Cricetulus griseus: one gene and its partner. The protein of the gene in region 2 interacts with the protein of the main gene of each other region in a pairwise test. Links are inferred from orthologs where the notes say so. Each region holds a gene or a part of one and is shown on either strand. Other genes may lie near its edges.

Region 1 (2,352 bases), on a different chromosome or scaffold from region 2:
CAGAGATGAAGTACTACATAGGTGAGGCCTGCCCCTGGGTGAGCGCAGGGCGCCTGTGTGGAGATAGCGCCAATAAGGGTGGCTCTTCAGGCTCCTCCGCCTCAGGGGGTCTCCTGCTGTGGTCATGACTCTTCTTCTGTGCTTATTTAACAGTGGTCAGTGTTTATCCAGTGCTCGCTAAGGGCCAGACTGCTGCAAACATTTCCTGTGAATTACCTCACGCCAGCCCAGTGAGGGAGAGGGCAGTTCTGTGCACGTTAGAGATAGGAAAGTGAGGCACTCAGTGCTGTCACGTACATGAGGGGACAGTTTATACAGAACAGAATTAGAGATGTGTCCTCTGGAAAGGGACTGACAAATGGCTTAAAAGGACAGCCAGTGTCGCTTGCCACAAAGACAGATACAGCTAAAAGGAAAGCAGATTCGTTTGTTCATTTGGGTTTTTGTTGGTGGTGCCACTTCTTGGGGTTTTGTTTTGCCATACTGGGGATCAAGCCCAGTGCTTCATGTATAGTAGGCAAGTGCTTCTCCCCAGAACTGCGCCTCTGGACCTCTTTTTACTTAGGTATTTTGAGACAGAGTTACCTGACAAGCCTTGGGTTCATGCTCTTCCTCATCCCCATCTGAAGACCTTGGTCTTCATGCCCGCACACCAGGCCTGGCTCGGTGTTATGAATGAAATGAGGAAGCCTGGGATTGCTTTGAAGCTCTATTAGGAGATAACTGCATTTTATTTCCCTATGCTGGGCTGAGGCTTGAACCCAGAGCCTTGTGTTTGCTAGGCAAACAGGCTCCCACCCTTTGGCCATCCCTTAGCCTATGCCAGCGTAACCCTAAGGTTACTCTACCCTTTGTTTTGTTTTTTTTTTTTTGGCTTCACTGTGTACCAAGCTGGCCCTGAACTCGTCATCTTCCCATTTAGCTTCCCAAGCGCTGGCATTACACAGTCATGCTTACTATTCCCCGCTGGCAGAAACCTTCCTTTTGGTGACAAGTGGAAGGTCTGAGAGCCTCAAGAGATTTAGCATGCTTTGCGAGTCCGATGCACAGACACCTGAGGGCTCGCTGCAGTTTAGCAGAGGCGGTTACCGTGTGGCCCTGGGCCGCCTGTCCTCTCGCCTGTTTCTCATCTGTGGCCTGCTGTCCCCCACAGTGCACCTGAAGCGGCACTTCATGTTTCGAAATCATCTGTGCCTGGTGTTTGAGCTGCTGTCCTACAACCTGTACGACCTCCTGCGCAACACACACTTCCGCGGTGTCTCTCTGAACCTGACCCGGAAGCTGGCGCAGCAGCTCTGCACAGCGCTGCTCTTTCTGGCCACGCCCGAGCTCAGCATCATCCACTGCGACCTCAAGCCCGAGAACATCCTGCTCTGCAATCCTAAGCGCAGTGCCATCAAGATCGTGGACTTTGGCAGCTCCTGTCAGCTTGGCCAGCGGGTGCGGCTCCGACTCTGGGCAGGGCCCGTGTTTTGGGTGGAATGGGATAGGACAGCTTGGTTTTGACCCTGGAAGCTGATGAGAAGCTGAGAGATGACATTGGGCATAGGGAGGCCGGTCTGAAGGGAGGGGAGCAGAGATGAAGAGGGCAGAGGAGACTCAAGCAAGGAAGAGAAAGGGTGACCCCCAGAGCAGAGCCTGAACTCTGCTTTGCGGACTTGTGCTCTTCAGGTCACAGGTAGAGACCTTGAATTCGTGCAGCCTTGTGTGAGCAGGCAGAGGGGTCACTCACTACTAGTAGTAGTTCAGTATGGGATGGCCAGCCTCTCCTAAACAGCAGGGACCAGAGCTGGGAGCAGAGGCAGGGTTAAAGCAGGCCAATGAAGACTGGAAGCTGATGAGCAGGACAGCGACTGGTTTGTGCAGCATTGCTGAGAATCTAGAGGCTCCATCCTGTGTTCGAGCAGGGGCTTGTCTTCAGTTGAGTGTCCCGGGGGAACCAGCAGGGGAGCCAGTGCCCTGACTCCTGTCCCCTTCCCCAGATCTACCAGTACATCCAGAGCCGCTTCTACCGTTCCCCCGAGGTGCTCCTGGGCACACCCTATGACCTGGCCATCGACATGTGGTCCCTGGGCTGCATCCTTGTGGAGATGCACACCGGAGAGCCCCTCTTCAGCGGCTCCAATGAGGTGTGCCCCTGGAAGGGGTGTGCTGGAGGTGGAGGGGTGGAGCCTGGCCGCCCGGCGCCCCTGACCGCCACCTGCCCGCAGGTGGACCAGATGAGCCGCATTGTCGAGGTGTTGGGCATCCCGCCCGCGCCCATGCTGGAACAGGCACCCAAGGCTCGCAAGTACTTTGAGCGGCTGCCTGGGGGCGGCTGGACCCTACGAAGGACAAAGGAACTCAGGAAGG
Region 2 (4,238 bases):
CATGCAGAGATGAAGACAAAACACAAATAAAAAATTTTTTTTCCAGACAGGGTTTCTCTGTGGCTTTGAAGGCTGTCCTGGAACTACTTTTTTTTTTTTAAGATTTATTTATTTACTTATTATGTATACAACATTCTGCCTCCATGCCAGAAGAGGGCACCATATTTCATTACAGATGGTTGTGAGCCACCATGTGGTTGCTGGGAATTGAACTCAGGACCTCTGGAAGAGCAGCGAGTGCTCTTAACCTCTGAGCCATCTCTCCAGCCCCTGTATCTCTTTCTGTATCTCTTTATATAACTATCATATATGTAAAGATAGTCTTTTTTTCAAGATTTTATTTATTTATTATGTATACAGTGTTCTGTCTGCACATTCCTGCAGGTCAGTAGAGGGCACCAGATCTCATTACAGGTGGTTGTGAGCCACCATGTGGTTGCTGGGAATCGAACTCAGAACCTCTGGAAGGGCAGCGAGTGCTCCTAACCTCTGAGACATCTCTCCAGCCCCAAGATAGTCTTTTTAAATTCGGGATTTCATTATTTAATCGTGACTGGCCTGATTCCAAGTTGACTTGATGACCTAGGAACTCAGAGATCCGCCTGCCTCTGCTCGTCCACTTCGAATGGGTGGGTAAGCAGCTGAATTCTAAAAATGCTTAAATGGGGCATGGGAGGGGGAGGTCCGGGAGCAGGTAACAAATAACGCCCATGTCCCTGGCTTGTGTATGGGTCAAAGGCTGTCCACGCAGGGCGCGTGCGACGCTGACACACGGGAAGCTGGAGCAGGAGGCTGCGAGTGTGAGGCCGGTCTGGGACAGAGTGTGTGCAGACTGGGGTGAGCCGGGGTCTGTCTCCCCATCTCCACACTGCAGCCTCACACCTGTCTACCCAGGAGTAGCCGCTGAGCTGTCCCTCCAGCCCAGGGAAAGGCAACTGAGGGTGAGGGGCCCCCCACACGAGGAGCCCTTCAATGCCGCTCCACAGAGCTCCAGCCACACTGCGTCCATGGGGTCCACACCCCGCCAAGTCGTGAGGTCCGAGGGGACACACCGCTTCTCGGCTCCTGGATCTTGTCGGGTTCAGTTCAGTTACCTCCAGCCCGCTCTCCCGTCTCCCGAAAGACGTGCCCAAGCTTCCCGGGATAGCACCGGCCTTGCATCACTACGCTCGCAGTGTGGTCATCGGGATTCTCGACGGCCATCTCTTCCCACAATTCCGCGGACCTTAATGGGTGCAGGCCCTCGGCTGGCCCCAGATCTCGCGAGAGTACGATAATGCCCGTTGCAGCCCAGATTCGCCTTCCCGGGCATCAGCACTGCATGCTCCCTGGCTTTCCCCCAATCCTGCCACTCGCGCTCCGCTCTCGGATTGGCTGTGAGAGCCGGTCAGTTTTTTCCCCGGCCAGAAAGCAGTCCCACAACTTGTCCTTCTCTGGCCCCGCCCTCGGCGTTTGCGGATTGGATGGCTGGGTGTGATGTCACGCGGCTCGCGTCAGCGGAAACTAGCCAATCACAGGGTTGGCGTATTTTACAAACTGGGGAAGCCGCAGCAGCAGAAACCCAGAAAATCGGCGAAAAAGCTGAGAGGGTAGAGGTGACCCCGAGGGGCTCCTGGAGAGGTGCGGCATGGGTTCTGGGAGGGGATGAGTCCTGTCGAGGTTCCCAGGGAGGGACAGCAGTGTGGCGTTGCGAGGCGAGAGAGCAGGCTTGCGGTGTCTGGGGGAGTCAGCCCGAAGAGCGGCCTTGCTGCCGGGGCGAGCCTCTAGGCACATGGATTGGGAGCCAGGTGGAAGAATCAGGGCTATCAGCCCCATGCCCTGTTAAGTGATTTGCTTTGGTCCTCAGTCCTGCCTTCCCGCCTTCTTCTCCCGTCTCAATTATAGCCGCCATGACTACCCTCCACACTAGGAAGGAGCCCCTCCTCCGAGGTGTGTCTCCCACCCCTAGCAAGATTCCAGTACTCTCTCAAAGATGCCCAGATTTCTCTTCAGTCAAGTCGTGCTCTCAGGACCGGGAGAACCAAGATCCAAGGGTAAGAGGGGCTTGATGGTTGAAAAAGAGAGTAATGACATGGAGGCAGCTTACATCAGCAATGCTCCCCAGCACCGACTCCCAGCTTTTTGTTCCCTTCCCCCTCAGAGACTGTCTCAGAAAGTCAGTACTCCGCATCCGCTCATCGGCTCAGCAGCCCCCAGATCGAAAACCCTGCACCACACAGAGAAATCACAGAAATTGGGGATCACTCGGCTGCGGAACCCTTTGGAGGAACTCAAGCCTAGCTGTGGGGGAGCAAATGTGGAACATGTGTCTCACACCCAGACAGGTACCTGCTGGAAGCCTGGGAATAGTCTACTTGGTTGAGTGAGGATGGGAAAAGCCAAGTGGGATTTGGAGGGGTTGCACACCCTCTGGTTCCTTGCATATTGTAAGAGTTCTAGACTCTGTCCTGAAAGCTCTTTGCACTAAGAAGCCATCCCTTTACTTCAACAAAATGTCTTCTCTTTCTTGTCATGGTGGTGCATACCTTATCCCAGCACTCGGATGCAGAGACAGATGGATCTCTGTGAATTCCAGGTCATCCTGGTCTACAAAGTGAGTTCCAGGCCAGCCACAGCTCCACAGTGAGACCGTGTGGAAGCCTTTTCAGCAACCTAGTCACAGACATTCCCTCATTGTTGTGCTGATTCTTTTTAATTGGTCCATACTATAGCTTGAACAACCTCCTTTTCAATAACAGATATGTTTTTAAAAGATTTATTTTTGGCTGGGCGTTGGTGGTGCATGCCTTTAGTCCGAGCACTCGGGAGGCAGAGGCAGGCAGATCTCTGTGAGTTCAAGGCCAGCCCGGTCTCCAAAGCAAGTACCAGGATAGGCTCCAAAGCTACACAGACAAACCCTGTCTTGAAAAAACAAAACAAAACAAAGAGGATTTATTTTTGTTTTATGTGAGTCCGTGTGAATGCAGTGTCCATGGGGATCAGAAAAGAGCATTGGATACCCTAGAGCTGAAGTTATAGCCAGCTGTGAACTGCTATGTGGGTGCCAGAAATAGAACCCTCCCGGAAGAGCTGCCCATACTCGTAACCACTAAGCCATGTCTCCAGCCCTCAGTGATATCTTCTGTATGACAAAGAGTAATAGCTTACATGAAATTCTTTTTCTTTTTTTAAGATTTTATTTAATTTTTATGTATACAACATTCTGCTTCCATGTACATCTGCACACCAGCAGAGGGCACCAGATCTCATAACAGATGGTTGTGAGCCACCATGTGGTTGCTGGGAATTGAACTCAGGACCTCCGGAAGAGCAGTCGGTGCTATTAACCTCTGAGCCATCTCTCCAGTCCCCTACATGAAATTCTTACATGAGCTAGGTTCCCCCAACTCTCCCCCATCTCTCAAGGCTGACTTTTAGCCCTGTATGCTGGGGAGGCTGGCCTTGAACACCTGGCTCTCCTGCCTTGGTATACTAAAATCTGAGATTACAGGTGTGTACACTAAGCCTGGCTTGGATATGTTTCTTTTGTTCACTATTGCTAGAGTCCTCTGCCCCTCAGCCTCTGCTATTCCTATCGTTCTAATCCTATCCCTTTCCTTTCAGAGGCTTCAGGGGCTATAGAATTTGTTGCTGACCCTGCAGCCCTGGCCACCATCCTGTCAGGTGAGGGGGTGAAGAGCTGTCCCCTGGGGCGCCAGTCCAGTCTGGCTCAGAGAGTACTAGTTCGAGGGAGCAAGGGAGGCACCACCCAGAAGGGCAAGGTAATGAGAAAGATGTGAGGTCAGGATGGGGTGGACTTGGGGAATTCTGAGCTCTTGCTGATAGCCTCTGTTGGCATCTCAGGGTGCTAGGTCTTCCGCATACCTGGCCCCCAGAACTCCCATCCATCAACTGGATCCAGCCAGGGCTTCCTGCTTCTCAAGACTGGAGGGATCAGGATCCCGAGGCCACACTTTGTTCCCACAGAGGATAGAGACTCTAGTGAGTACCCTTGAGGAGCTGACACTTAGTCTTTCTAGAAACTTCTTCCTGGAACAAAGGTACTGCCCTAGAACAGTACCTCCTAGATGAAAATGGGTTCTGAGCAGTGCTGTGCAAGAATTTAATCCCATCACTCGGTAGGCAGAGGCAGGAGGATCTCTGTGAGTTCGAGGCCAGCCTGGTCTCCAGAGCAAGTGCCAGGATAGGCTCCAAAGCTACACAGAGAAACCCTGTCTCGAAGGGAAAAAAAAAAAATC

The links. The genes of interacting proteins can lie anywhere in the genome.
Region 1: the proteins of Troap (region 2) and Dyrk1b interact in binary tests that used the Homo sapiens proteins (3 or more experiments, as listed by UniProt). The link is inferred for Cricetulus griseus from reciprocal best matches to the Homo sapiens genes TROAP and DYRK1B.

The regions. Positions count from the first base shown.
Region 1 is NC_048602.1:7,915,076-7,917,427, reverse strand, and holds part of Dyrk1b (dual specificity tyrosine-phosphorylation-regulated kinase 1B), read left to right. Parts: coding exon 1-21; intron 22-1,153; coding exon 1,154-1,440; intron 1,441-1,982; coding exon 1,983-2,129; intron 2,130-2,210; coding exon 2,211-2,351; intron 2,352-2,352.
Region 2 is NC_048595.1:395,511,114-395,515,351, forward strand, and holds the start of Troap (tastin), read left to right. Parts: upstream 1-1,438; 5' UTR 1,439-1,463; coding exon 1,464-1,620; intron 1,621-1,884; coding exon 1,885-2,033; intron 2,034-2,140; coding exon 2,141-2,324; intron 2,325-3,603; coding exon 3,604-3,761; intron 3,762-3,843; coding exon 3,844-3,981; intron 3,982-4,238. UniProt on the Homo sapiens protein: Could be involved with bystin and trophinin in a cell adhesion molecule complex that mediates an initial attachment of the blastocyst to uterine epithelial cells at the time of the embryo implantation.